Linked DNA regions of Alligator mississippiensis. The protein of the gene in region 2 interacts with the protein of the main gene of each other region in a pairwise test. Links are inferred from orthologs where the notes say so. Each region holds a gene or a part of one and is shown on either strand. Other genes may lie near its edges.

Region 1 (7,647 bases), on a different chromosome or scaffold from region 2:
AAAATCTCCCCCTACTCTTTGTTAGAGAGGAGCTATGTTTTCTTTGTGAAAATATTCCCTCCCTCTGAAGAGTGCAGGGTACTAGGTTTCCACCTGATGCTGTCTGATGGAGTGGAACTGCTTATTACTTAGCTTTTGGGAAACTTTCAGAAGGGAAATTACTTTACGAATGTAAAATTGTATCTTATCACTAAACTGAAAGGGCCAAATTAGCTTCTGGTATAAATGTGCTCGACACCATAGGTGAATTTGGCCTGAAGAATGCAGGTCTCAAGTCCGGACAGCATTTTTAATACATGTGTAACTGTTTTAAGGAAGACCTCAGAGTCTAATCCTGTAACACATGCAAAAATAATGTTCATTACCACTGACTTTAACAGGGAAATGTTCGCAGTAGTAAGCAATCTGATTAGTAGTAAATTGTTAGCCTAATTTATCCACTGTCCAGTTTTAAAGATGCTGTGGTCTGTTGTGTGAACAATAATTTAGATCCTTAACAGAAGTCCCCCCCCCAAATTTGCGAAAAGCACTGAAATAGCTATTTTAAACCACTCTAAATATTTCTCGGTCCATTCTTCTCTGAGATGGAAGCAAGAGACAGTCAAGAAATGAAAGAAGTCAGATTGCTTTAAATACATTTCAATGGGTAAATTGCTCCAACACTAAATTTGTAACTGAGTCAAACATTGTACTTCATGCTAAACTTTGTTATACAAGCTTTTATCCAGTAGAACATTTTATTTTTTCACTTACCAGTAATTCAACCTGAATAACTTTAGCCATTTTAGAACTATCATTATTATTATTTACTAATTTGTCTTCCTTTCTACAAAATGTTTTGAAGAACTGGAAATCAGAGGCCCACTCCTTTAACTGTTTATTAAAAGGCACAGTGTGTTATAAATACTAAACAGTAGTAAACATGTGCAGGATCCAGCCCTGAAAGCATCTATGGCACCATGCAGGATGCAGATGAAACACGATGAACAATAGCACATTAGTCATTTGTATTATAGAAATAATAGAAAAGTAGGGTTGGAAGGGACTGCCAGAGGTCATCTAGTCCAACCCCCTATCTGATGTAAGATCACCTTATTTGTATCCATGATCTAACCCATTGGTGCTCAACCTTTTTGCCCTGTGGCCTCAGTGGGTCCGTGGGCAGGATTGTGCCAGTGGGCCCAATATGGTGTGCAGCAAGTCCTGATCAGGCTGTGTGGAGGGAGGCAGAGGGCAGCCCATCCCCATCCGGGTATGTAGAAGAAGGGGTTGGCTCAGTCCCGAAATGGCTGAGGGAGCAGGGAATGTGGCCTAACTCTAACCCAGCTACACAGAGCTTGGGAATAGGGCAGTAAAGGGGGGGTGGCAGTATTAATTGCCACTAATCCCCCACTGCCATATTTTCTGACCCGGGAGAGCCCTGTGGGCTGGACACCACAGCTCCACGGGCTGCATTTGGCCTGCAGGCCAGGGATTGAGCACCTCTGGTCTAACCTACTGACAAAACTACATGGTAAGAAGAGCATGACCCTAGAGCGCCTCAGCCAGGCTGGAGGCTCTGCTCAGAAAGTGCCAACTTGGGAGTTTTCACCTTTTTTTCACTATGGAAAAACAACACGGTGAATCTTCTGGTGCAAAGAACTCAGAACTACAAGACAGAACGGTTTAACACGGGGGTGCCCAAACCCCAGCCTGCGGGACAGATCTGGCCCCTGGCGCCAGGCTGTCTAGCCTGTGGGGAACTGCATGAACTGTGGCCTGTGTGCATGCACACAGCGCAGCCTGGGCCCTGATACTGGCACATGGGGCCAAATAGGGGCGGTATTGGGCCCAATCGTGGTACCAGGAGGCCAACCCAGCAAGTGCACCAGCCTGGCCTCATTCTGTTGGCCCAAAACACTGAGCCCCCTCCTTCATTTCATGGCATGGCTTCCTATAGGAAAGCTTATCCTATGAATCATGTTTGTGCATGGTTGTGACATCGTACAGCAGAGGTGGCAGCACCAGGGCAGTGAGACAGGGGCAACTGACATGAAGGGGGGGGGGCAAATAAACTCAAGGGACTGCTGCTGTGATTGCATAAGCACCACTTCTGCTTTGCCCCAGGGCTCCCAGCTGCTGTCCCTGCGCAGCTGCACCCTGCAAGCGCTCCCAAGGCACCCTGAAGTGCCACAGCCCCCTGGCTGAGAAGCAAGAGTCTATGCCTCAAACCCCCATATGGGGGGGGACACCAAGCTGGGACAACAGCTAGGGAGCGGCGCGCACACCGGACACGTTCCGGGTCCCATCTCTGCCACAGCAAGGCGCGCAACCACGTTTCCCTGTTGAGGCGAGTTCCAGCACGCTGGAGGGGGGGGGGGGAAGCATCGCTGCATGCGATTGGCTGACACCCGTGACGTCACCGCCTCCAAGCGAGAGGGGGCGGGGCGGAACAGGAGGGAACCACCCCGGAGTTCCCCCTCCCCACTCGCCATCAGCGCGGGACTACAAGTCCCAGGATACTCCGCGCCAGCCCAGCGGCTGGTTCCCATAGCAAGGGAACAGCGGCGGCGCTCAGACAACGGCCAAAGGCGGCGCGCGGGGTAACCGATGCTTCGAGGCAGGGGGTACGAGGGGACGCCCCATTTGCTGCAGTGGGGAGGGGGAGGGAAAGGGTGATGAGGGGAACTGCCACGAGCCCCCGCCCATACATTCCCGCCCCCCTCTTCCGGGGTCTCTGGGGCTGGAGGGAGCACGTCCGCCATTTTTGTTGCGTCCTCTTTCTGCGCATGCTCACAAAAGCTTCACTGCAGGCCCTGCAGGGTCATAGTTGAATTGGGGGTCCTGCGTGGCTATTGAGGGGGGGGGGGCTGTGCCAGCCCCTGCTGGGGTCCAGGGACGCGGACACGAGCAGGCAAACCGATATCTTTGGGTCAAGTTGATATCTTTTATTTAGACCAACTCAGATAGTCGGAAAATGTCTTCTTCGTAAGCTTTGGAGCACAACCCCACTTTGTCAGGCAGTGTGTGCTGTTGCTTTTGGTATTGTGTGAGGAAGAAAGACTGTTGGGGGAAACACTATTAGGTGAAGGTTGCTGTTTTCTGAAAAACTCCAGAAAGGTCATTTTCTTTGAAAATGGGGGAGGTGGGGGGAAGATGACACTAATGGACAGAAGTTTAGCACTGGAAGGGACCTTGTGAGATCATCGGGTCCAGCCCCCCTGCTCTGGGGAGGAAAGTCTGCTGGGGCCAATAACCGTTGATCCTGGTTTTCCCCTTTTCAAATGAAACAGCTACTTCTGCAAACGTGGGGGAACAAGAGCTTAGGGATCAGTCAAATCCTCATTAATCTGCAAATGTTTTAGTTTGGTGGAATAATTTATCCTCACTGGTTGTGTCTACATGAGGTGCTGACTGCAGTAGCTTGTTGCTGCATAGTTACTCATTACTGCTGCGCAGTAGTGTTGCTGAATGGCTTTTTGGTGACACTGACTTGTACAATAGCTCGTTACGACTGCACTAGCATTGCATGGCATGAAGCGTGACGCAATGCTACTGTGTAGTCATAATGAGCTATTATGCAGTCAGCATCACCAAAAAGCCATTTGGGGATGCAACTGCGCAGCCATTTAGTTCTTACATATGCTAGTATTAAATGACTGCTTAGTAACAACTGTGCGCTCAGAGTCTTGTTCAGATGCTGCCACTATCCCCTCCTTTTCTGTAACGACCCAGTTGATCAAATTTAACAGATACAGATTGGACAAGTGAAAGCCACATCTCTTACCAACGCATTACACTAAAGATGTTCAGGTGCTTAAGTGGCTTTTCAAAAGCAGTCAAGCATATTATGTACTGTTAAATGATTCCTGGCTGGCAATATGACAGCTTTCATCCCAAAAGGAAATATTTTATATGCTTATTAGAATCTCTAATATAGATGCACTTGTATAATAACAGTAACTCTGCACGCAGCCTACTACATAAATACATATGTAAGGCAAAACAGTGTTCAGTTATAATTCATTACTTAGTTCATGTTGGGGATCAAGGATGAAAAAAAGGAAGTAAATTGACATGGATGGAGTCCAGATGGAGTTCTATAACATGGATGGAGCGTTAGGAATGTATATAAAAAGATGCAGAAATGCCCATTAAGAGACCAGTTCCTGGATGACATCTACCTAGGCTGTATAAAACATTTATTTAATTGTATTGTACTAGTTTCAGTGAATTTTTCATCAATGCCCAGGTCAACATAACTACCTCTTCTAAATTCTATTAAGCAGTAAACAAACAACTACACTGATAGTATATTAGCATACAAGGAAACTGCAACTATGGTATTTATTAACATGCATTAAGGGATGTTCATCCACCGAGAACATATACATTCTTAAATAACAAAGATTATATTTAACATCTCTCTAGGGCGCTAAATGTTTGCCTTCTTTCAGATACTGAAACTGGCTATTTTTATTGGATTAAAGAATAAATAATGTGCATTAAAGAGGTTAATAAATGCCATGTTTTTCCCCCCTCAAGTTTTGTGTATAAGTGATCAACATTTTGATTCTGGTAGGTCAATTCCAATGTCTTCTACTGACAACACACTGATGAACTCAGGTGACTGTTTCCTCCGTATGTTAGTGCAAGAAGACACTAATTCAGGAAGCAGCACAAGAAGCAGAGGCACTAATGATTGTATTAGGGAAAGCATCAGAACAGGTTGTTCTGGCAGAATTAATGACTATTGCCAATGCAGCAGAGAATATGGAAGTCAGTCAACATTTTCATGTGAACTATTCTGAGGACTTTTTCTCTGACTGTACAGAATCAGCCAGCAGCAACAGTTCTTTAAAAATGCCAAGAACCAAAGAGAAGAAGCTACAGAAAAAGAAAAAAAACAAATATGGTCGACAAGGTTATCAAATCAAAGGTAACAAGAAAACTGCTTTTTTTTTTTTACCAATAGCCAAATAATATAAGAGTGGAACTATTTTCATTCATTGGCAGTTTTTATGGTGATTAGAGCCTGAAAGGAGCTGGTTTTCTTACCTTGCAAAAATTTTTGAGTTTTCAAAAATAGGAAGAGGAAAGAGGGGATTGATACTTCAAGATAGACTTTAATTCAGTGGTTAAAACTCCTGCATGGGTTGTGGAAGACCTGGGTTCAAGTCCTGACTAAAATCATGGACTTGAAACAGCATCTTACATTCCAGCTGAGTGCCCCAACCGCTACACTCTTTCTGGTTTTGACCAGAAATTCCAGCTTGGGTCTTTATTAATAAACAGACAGCAAAAAACGCATAATACAAAGTTATAAAATGAAAATAATAAATACGTTAATAAAACTCAACAGAGAAGCCATGGAATTAAAAGACACAAGCTGGCTTAACTTGATCAGTTATTTGCTGCTGTGTCCCATCCATAATTTTCATTTAAATGCATTCTACCTGCTAGTTTAATAGGCATGCTTAACTGTATCTATCCCTTATATCCCATGGGGTTTGAGTCACAGAATTTGTCTGCCTATTTTTCTTGCAAATGGCAAGGACATTTTGAATTGTATATATATTATAAGAATAACCATTTAGTGGAGTGCTGCCTGGAATGCTTTAGAACTGTTAAGAAATCGAATGTTTTGATACAAGTGAAGTAAATAGTAAGGCTGTAAATAGGCACAGAATTTGTCCTGGGATCTTACAGACATACAAGTCCACTGTCCCAGACCGAGTCTCTCTGAAAGATAAAAATGTGTTAATGCTTTTTCCAAGGATGTGGCTCTGTGCATCTGTAGGGTAATTCCAGGGAAAAGTGTGCTCTTGTTCTCTACCTACTGGCAGAGGAACAGCAATGCATGTTGGAAGGGCAAGGTATGTAAATGATTGAGCCTCATCTGTTCTGATCTGGGTCAGACAATCAGACTTGCCTCTAATACAGTGGTTCTCAATCTTTTTAGATTCAAGGGACCCCTCCATAACTTTTATGAACGGAGTGGCATCCCCTTTCCAAAACCAATTGATTACAGTGTTTACCCCCTTGCAGAGGCTTCAGACAGTGGGGGCAAGGAAGCCAAGGGAGGGAGAGCCTTAGCCTGCCCTTTTTTTGCTTATCTCCTCACATTTCCCATGGCTCCCTTCAAAGGATCTAGGGAATCCAAAGGTTCCCCAGCATCCTGGTTGAGAATCACTACTCTAGTAAGGCATCTGTTTATAGCCTAAGACTTATAAATCTCTGTCTAGTTCAGTTTTACTTTGTGAAAGGACAACGAAGTAAGCAGTGGTAATTTAGAATGTCAAGTGATCAAGAATATTTAGCAAATGCAGTACGTGGCAAGGAAAGCTATATAACTAATCTGAATGCTTGATGATTGAAAAAACACTATATGTGTATTTGTAGACTTTTATTTATCATTTTTAAAAATGGTTTGAAAGTGCTAGAATTGGTTAGGTGGTAACTAGATGCAGAGTTGTTGAAATACATATTATTGCCATAACTTTATTTTTCTGAGTTTTTGCAGGTACAGTAAATTGACATTTTCTTCCTTCTCTATAATGCATTGAATTTTCATAATCAACTGTTTGATCTAGTTTCACTGGAGTTAATGGGAGTCTTTTCAAAAAGGTCAGATCAGACCTATATATACATCTGATTCTCAGATTAAGGGCACATTGATTCCACTGAATGACTGAGAGAGAAACTTAGTTTCAGTTGGCTTTGGAGATGCTTTTGTAAGGACATCGTACCAGTTGATTCATAGAGTGCTTTTGTTTGCCTCAAAAGAAGCTCTTATATATTCTCATTACTAAAATAAAAGACTATGGCTAAGTAGAACAAAGATGGTCTAACAGAATAAGTAGGTGAGGAAACATTTCGACTTGATATGGACTTGACTTTAGTTGTGGCCAAGTGTAATCAGGAAAAATCCCTGCTCTGGGGGTATCTGGATGAAATAGGTGAATAGAGGAATTGTGGTATGGATTATAGGCAATTTGTCATATACACTACATTTAAAAATCTTGGGATAACCAGTTATAAGAATAGTAAAGTTACGCCTTATGCACCCTTAAATAATATATGTATCACGATTTATCTGTTTTGGTCTGAATGTAGGAAGCAAGAAATTGCCACTTAAGAAGATGCGGCACCAGAACACTTCATTCTTAAGCAATCAGAATACCACAGTCTCTCAGAAAAAAGATGTTCTGGCTCAACGCATATTTTCAGCAAGACTTCACAAAACTAAAGAACTGAAAAATGAACTGTCAGATCTCCAGCATAAACTAGAAGCTTCAAATGTAGAAAATCAGCTTCTGAAACAGCTTCAATATCGGCACTTGAAAGCAATAGGTAAATATGAAAATGCAGAGAATAACTTGCCTAATCTTATAGCAAGACATTATCATGAGGTAAGAAGTCTAAGGGAACTCCTTAGGAAGTCTCAGGAGCAGGAGCGAAAAACATTGAGGAAGCTTAGAAAAGTTGAAGCAGAACTGTTAAGGACTAAAGATGCTTTGCAAACATTGCATAAAATTTCAGAAGACAAGAATCTCGCAGAGAGAGGGGAACTTACTCGCAGATTATCAGTCCTTACAGAAAAAATGGAAGCCAGTGATAAAAAAATACAGGTAATATGCAACATATATTTGTATTTTTTAGTACTAT
Region 2 (7,227 bases):
ATTGGTAACTTGCTCAAGCTAGTCACATTCAGTGCTATCAACAGAAACTGATGGCTGGCACATTTACAGCTGAAAGGATGGAAACAAAATGCAGCCCCTTAATTTGTTATAACTTCAATCTCCTCTGCAAGAACACTCACAAAGGGGCAAACCTTGCAAGGGCCAGGAAGGCCCATCAACCCATCAAATGCACAAAAGTGAGGGGAAACTGCCTCCACAGCAGAGGATGAAATCACAGACCTGTGGGCAGCATGACAGCATCATTCTTTTTTTCATCTGCTGATTTAATATCCTAACACCTAGATGCTCCTGTGACGGGGGCTACACGAACATCTTTAACAGGGTTGCTCATTTTAAGAATAACTCACCGTTTTTAACTTCTTTGGTACAACCTCCTTGGGCAATTCTTCCTGCTTAATAGGTTTCTCATCATCCTCGTCCGAGTCATCTTCCACCTCCTCCTCTGCTGCAGGCTTTCGCAGCCCGGCGCTGATAAAATTGACAGGGGCTGAGTAGTCTCGAGATCTGTATAAGGAAATCACGTTAAAGAGGCATTTTTAGAACTGCGTGCGTCAGAGCTCTTCCACTGGGGCAGCAGCTGGAACACAGTCAGAGACACCCTCGCAAGCAGTTCCCTCTTAATGTTACGATATGGAGCTACAAAGCCGGTATTTGAAATGCAGGAAGTTTGAATTTATGAAGGAAAATCTGCGTTCTGAAAAGGACCTCGCATTTTTTGTTTTAGCAAACTTCAGCCTTGAAAAACAATCATCTCTATCCCAAACTCTACCTAGGCACTAAGCCAACTGCTGAGGGAAGTGAACACCATGTATGGACAACCCAGGTTATGTAGCTTTTGAAAAACCCTGTATGAGATTCCAATCCCTCCCTTCTCTTACACAAACCACAGCCAGCACGTCGTTTACCACCTCTACGTGCTTGAGAGAGCACCTTTCTGCACTACGCTCTAGGTGTCATGTTGCCAATGGCTCCCTGGTGGTGACACAAGACTTAAGTCGCAGAACCCCCGGGGCTGACGAGAGAACTCTCCCGCGGTTCCTTTCAGGCCAGCAGGGAGAGGATGGAGTTACTTTATTAAGGGAATTATTAACGGAACTGAAAGTATCATCATGTCTCTTTATAAATCCATGGTGCATGTTGAATGCTCTTTATAAGTCCATGCTGCACCTTGAATGCTGCGCCCAGTTCTGGTCCCCACACCACAAAAGGATGCAGAAAAACTAGAAAAGGTCCAGACACAGGCAGCAAGGATGTTGAGAGCTATGGAGGGGCTTCTGTGTAAGGAGATACTAAAGAGGCCAAGCCTGTTCAGTTTAGAAAGAGAAACCCTAAAGGGGAGCACAGGACAAGGGTTTACAACTAAATGCCAAAGTGAAAGCCAATAGGGATTCATAGAATCACAGAAGTCAGGTCGGAAGGGACCTTGTAGATCTTCGAGTCCGACCCCTGCCTGGGCAGGAGGGAAACTGGGCTTAAGTGACCCCAGCCAGGTAGGCATCGAGCTGCTTCTTAAAGCCCCCCAGGGTAGGAGCCAGCACCACTTCCCTTGGAAGTTGGTTCCAGATCCTAGCCACCCTGACTGTGAAGTAGTTCCTACGGATGTCTAATCTGAACCTACTCTCCAACAACTTGTGGCCGTTATTCCTTGTTATCCCGGGGGGGCGCTCGGGGAAACAAGGTCTCCCCCAAACTCTTCTGGTCCCCCCTAGGGAGTTTACAGACGGTCACCAGGTCCCCCCTCAGCCTTCTCTTGTGGAGGCTGAACAGGTTCAGGTCCCATAGCCTCTCATTGTAGGGCCTGCCCTGCTGTCCCCGGATCATGTGGGTGGCCTCCTCTGGACCCTCTCCATGCTGTCCACATCCCTCCTGACGTGCGGCGCCCAGAACTGGACGCAGTACTCCAGCTGCGGCCTGACCAGTGTCGCGCAGAGGGGGAGGGGGATTTATTATCTACTCTCTCTCACGATACAAAAGCTAGGGGTCACAAAATGAAACGAGTAGGCATTAAGTTTAGAAAGAACAAAACAAAATGTTTTCACCCAACATGTCACTGAAGCGTGGAACTTGTCGCCACCAGAAGCGAATTCAAAACGGGCTGGGGGACATTCCTGGAGGAAAGGGGCGTCAGTAGCTGTTGAATATGGGAGTGAGGGATACAACCCCTGAATCAGACCTTCCTAGACCTTAAATGCTGGCGGCTGCAGGGGGGAGAGGAACAGGGAGGGAAAAACCCCTGGTCCTCCCCTGTTCACTCTCCCGTTCAGCGTCTGCTGCCTGACAAGGCCCTGTTTGTTACGCCGTGGGGGACGTGCGGGCTTACACTCACAAGGAAACACTAGAAACCTCCCTTAAAAGCGGGGGCAACTGGAAACATAACCGACTTTGGGGGACAAATAAGCAGCAAGCAAGGAAAGGAGCGCGGTCACGAGCTAACAACGAGGGATCGGGAAGGGAACACCAAGCAGACCACGCCGGCCCCAAACGAGTCGAGCCCGTGGACGGCGGCCAGCGAAGATCTGCTCGGAGACGACGGCTCCGGTCACCCCGCGAGCAGCGAGGAGCCGCCCGTACCGCTTGCCGCCGAAGCTGGGCCGCTCGTCGTCGGAGTCGCGCTCGGCCCAGATGCCGTAGGTGGCCTCCTCCTTGGTCTGCCGGTGCCGCTGGCGGTTGGGGTTGAACTCGTTCTGCAGGTCCCAGTCCGTGATCTCGAAGCTCTCCATCTCCACCTCGCCCTCCTCATCCTGCCCGTACAGGTGCGACATGGACATGGCGGCCTGCCGGGGCGCGCCGGCATCAGAGCTGGTGGCGGGGGGGCCAGAGAGGCAGGTGCAGGCACCCCCACTCCTGCCCCCCCGACCCCTTTTCCTTCCCAGCCCTTCCCCCCACCCCATTCCCCCAGCCCCTCCCCCACTCACCTCTTCTCCCCCAAACCCGCCCCCCCCCCAGCACTCACCGCTCCCCGAACCAGGAAGCGGAGCTACAGCTTGTACCGGAAGCAGGAAGCGGCCGGATGTCCTTCCGGGGTCGCGAGCGCATGCGCCAGCGCCTGCCCGGAAGCCCGCGCCGCGGAGCATAGAGTGAGGGGGTGGGGCAGAGCGGCACGGCCGGCTGTCCGCCTCGGCGGACTTCTCTATGGTTGGGAGGGTGGGGTGGAGGCTGGGAGGTCTGCACCCCCCCCCCCACACACACACACACTTTTTCTCTCTAACTTCACACACACGTGCATTATGTATCTACACACACAGGTAAATGCACATATGTACACCCACCCGGTGTATGTATGCACGCACGATGTATACACTCACACATGAATTAAGCCTACACATGTATACACACTCATTATGAACACACGGACATGACGTGTACACACGCTGCATACATGCACACGCATGTACACACACACTATATGCATATGCACACTATGATTATGCATGCACACACACACCCCTATTGTGTACACACGCACATTATGCATATGCACATATTACATACATGCACACATGACATGCATGCACGCACACTATGATTACGTATGCACACACACATAAACATGTATCGCGTACACATACACATTACGCATGTACCCACACACACTATGCATATGCACACACACGTATCGGGGTGGGCAAAACACGGTCTGCCGGGCCCCTAAATATTGATTTTCTAAATTTTTTATCTTCCCTGGCTGCCTGTCGGTGCAGCCCTCGATGGCTTGCCAAGCCTCAGTAAGCAGCCCTCCGCCCAAAACGACTGCCCGCACACACACACGCACACAGCACAAGCTTTCAGCTGTAGCTCACTTCCCCAGCACTGTGAAGGGGGAGGGAGGGATTCCTCATGCCACCGTTTCTCATTCAAATCGGTATTTAAACACTTGCTGCTGGAGAACTGCACCCCTCGGGTCAGCGACGGCACATCCGCGGGGTTGAAGCACCTGCCCCAGGCTGGCAGGTCTGTCTGCCACCCATGTCAGAGCCCCCAGGCCCTCCCACGCACCCACGGGCCCCGCATCCTTCCCGTGTCCGCAGCCCTTCGTTCCAGCCCGCGAACGCCCTTCCTCGCATCATTAGCGCAAACGATGATGACACGCCCTTTCGTCTGGAAACAGTGTTTAATCACCGCAGGAAATGAACGGAGCGGAGCCAGGAATGAAACAGATGGCCTCATATATTAATTTTTAAATAGATTCTGTAAATTACAAGTGAAGGAACGACAGAAGGCAGGTCTCCGATTGTCACTTGTACGACCAATGCTCTACGAGGTTATCGACACCTATTCCCGGTTTGCAAACAGAAGAACAGAATGACGAGACAGTTTTAAATACAACTTTAAAAAGTCCTCAAGTAACCGAATGGGCGAATCTCTTTCCAACGCGCTCTGAAGTTCCAGCCAGGAAACTCGTCTCCCAGGATTTTCCTCTTTACCACAGAGCATTCAGAGAAGGTAGACAACTGGTATCCGATGTGTGTCATGTTTGGCCTTTGCAAATAAATGCAAATACATTCCTTGTGTAGCAGTCCTATTTTGGCAATATTAGCAAGCAATATGCTTGGATAACAGATTTCCACTTTTGCAACTGCAAACTGTCTTCTCTGCTGGACGCTGAAAGGCCACGTGCAGCCTCCTGAAACAGAAGAGACGCGAAGCGTTAGGGATGAGACGCTGAACATAGTGACCGCGGGGTCCACTCTTCAAACCCACAGCTACTTCAAGCACCTTGTTAGCGAGATCCAAGACCTGGACATCACCTCTCCCTACTTGGTGCTGACCCAAGCCCCATCAATCCCACATGCAAGACGTTTCTAATGTTGCTGAAGTCTCTGAAGGCTGCAGCATGCAGGTGCCCCCAGGGAAGAGATCTTAGTGCATGTTGCACACCGGGAGGAAGCACAATTACACCCGGAGCACAACCCCTTACCTGGAAATCATTAAGTCAGCGAGTGAGGCTCCGACGTGTTCTGAGGCACCTGGAACAACCCAAGACAGACGAGAGTTAGCTCGGCCCCAGACAGCCCCTCTGCACCGACAAAGCGAGACAACCAGGGGATGCCAGTGGTCCACGGGGCAGGAACCAGCACCGCACAGAGATCCCCGTGCCAGCTCGGGTCCTGACCACAGCACGGTCGTGTGGGCACAGCACAGGTTTTGGGACAGCAGGGTGGGGGGGATGAATGCAGACTCGCGAAGGCAAGCCCAGAGCTGCGAGCGAGGGCAGTGCTGGAGGGGTGGCAGCGGGGTTAGCATGCAGGCTGGGCACGGCAAAAGGATTCGGAGGGTTGGGAGGCTGCAATCCGCGTGGCAGAGGGGGAAGAGATGCAAGCAGGATTGACAAGGGGCTTCTCCTAGCAGCTGCCAGCATGGAGCTGCTGCCTGCACGGCGCGCGGCACACCCACCCACAGCGCTCTCGTTGCCGCCGGCTCTTACCTGCAGATGCCCTTTCAGATTAGCCGGCACTTTGAAATCTCCCTTCAGGACCTGCAAGAGAAGCAAAGCCGGAGTGACTCCCCGTGGCCTTGGGCTGGGGGCTACTCACCGCCCCTCTCTGCCTCGGTCACCACCCGGCTCATCCCTGGGCGCCCACGCCAGACACGAGCACCAGCAGTTTAACACGGGGCACCTGGAGTGCGTCCCCGAGGCCAACAGCTGGCGTGGTGGCAGGGCTAGTTCAGCCAAGATGCAGGGTTTGCCCCCAGCTGCCTGGATCCTGGCCAGCCGAGACCCCTTCTCCCCCCAGGGACTTAGGAAAGCGCATTAAAGTCTCAGCCTTTCACCTGGCTCTTGTTGTCTCCAGTCCTTCGTGGCCCCAAGCCCGACCGCAGCCCGCCCCACCCCGCGCAGGGGACCCCGCACTCACCCGGTGCGTGTTGTTGATCACCAGGGGGTCCGGGCTGCCGTAGTTGGGGGGGTTGGCGTAGGGGTCGTAGCCCAACCTGGCCAGCATGGGCGCGATGTGGGCCATGTCCTGCACCACGTCGCCTGGGATGTGCCCGATCCACTTGGACAGCGCCTCCAAGTTCACAGGCTTGATGACCTGGTCCGTGGACCTCTCGATCCTGGGGGAAAAGGTCAGGCACTCACTCACCGGGATGCTGGAGCGGGCTGGGGTCTGTGTCCTGCTAGACTAGTGGGCTCTGCATCCCCTGGGAGGACTTGCTCAAAAACAAGAGACCTGAAGCTTCACGAGAGGCCGTGACGGAGCTCAGGGACATGGATGCATCTCATGGGGGGCTGCCCTGCCCCAGCCCCTAGCCAGGCTTGCCCCGCAGGAGGGCTTTACTACAGACCGGCTACATGGCAGCGCAGCTACAGGCCTGGAGCTGGGCCAGCCCTGGGAGCAGGAGCCACACGTCCCACCCTGCTTGGTGGGACCTCCGATCCCTGCCTAGGGCCCATCGTTCGTGCAACCTTTCAGTGGTTTTCTGTCTCCACCCCGCAGGAGGGATTCAGCACCATGCCCATTGGGACTGAGGACACCACACCCTAAATATCTAACACGCCAAAAACGCTGCTTCAGGCATCACCAGCTTGAGTCGTGGCCCATGCAGCGCCGGGTGGGAGGACCCTGGTTGGGCTAAAAAATGCCAAGCTTGGAAGCACCCCTGCGCAGGCTTCGCTGGGAACAGGTGCAGCCCATGTTGGATGCCCAGAGCCAGAAGGGAACAGGCGCAGAGACCTCCCGGCCAGTCCCCACGGGCTACGGTCAGTGCTGGCTGGAGCAGGTGAGAACTAACAACCCGCAGCGGGAGGGAGCGTTCCAGCGGCTGCAGACAGCAGCTCTCTGGAGCACAGCGAGGGAGTGCACACGTATGCACACACGTGCGTGTGTGTGTGTATGCATGCACTCGGGTGCACAAGATGCTTTATTTCACAATCAGGGGATGATTGAGACGGGCTCCTCCCCTTCCCAGTTGGCTGCAGCCAGGTTGCAACAGCCAGGTCACGGCAGCCCCCTGCTAAGGGTGCAGGCATAACCTCATCTCTAGCTGCAGGGACTCACTTGGACAGGGAGACACCGCCAGGCTTCCCGATCAGGTCCTCGTGGTGCAGCATGGCATCGCTCCAGGCGATGCCCAGGAACTGCATGATGGCCTGCAGGGACTGCTCCGGGTGCAGCACCAGCTGCTCGTAGTAAACGGGCAGGCAGCGGGAGCGCCCGATCTCCTGGCACTGGGAGTACATGACCTCGATGGCCTTGTTCCACTTGG

What was found. The genes of interacting proteins can lie anywhere in the genome.
Region 1: the proteins of TFIP11 (region 2) and LCA5L interact in binary tests that used the Homo sapiens proteins (3 or more experiments, as listed by UniProt). The two-hybrid records come from large-scale screens. The link is inferred for Alligator mississippiensis from reciprocal best matches to the Homo sapiens genes TFIP11 and LCA5L.

What each region holds. Positions count from the first base shown.
Region 1 is NC_081824.1:296,694,391-296,702,037, reverse strand, and holds the start of LCA5L (lebercilin-like protein), read left to right. Parts: upstream 1-4,570; 5' UTR 4,571-4,677; coding exon 4,678-4,918; intron 4,919-7,095; coding exon 7,096-7,610; intron 7,611-7,647.
Region 2 is NC_081833.1:1,409,921-1,417,147, reverse strand, and holds the start of TFIP11 (tuftelin-interacting protein 11), read right to left. Parts: upstream 3,079-7,227; 5' UTR 2,975-3,078; intron 2,796-2,974; 5' UTR 2,790-2,795; coding exon 2,593-2,789; intron 526-2,592; coding exon 369-525; intron 1-368. Other genes in the region: TPST2 (protein-tyrosine sulfotransferase 2), read right to left, coding at 4,950-4,988, 5,447-5,497, 5,877-6,075, 7,020-7,227. UniProt on the Homo sapiens protein: Involved in pre-mRNA splicing, specifically in spliceosome disassembly during late-stage splicing events. Intron turnover seems to proceed through reactions in two lariat-intron associated complexes termed Intron Large (IL) and Intron Small (IS).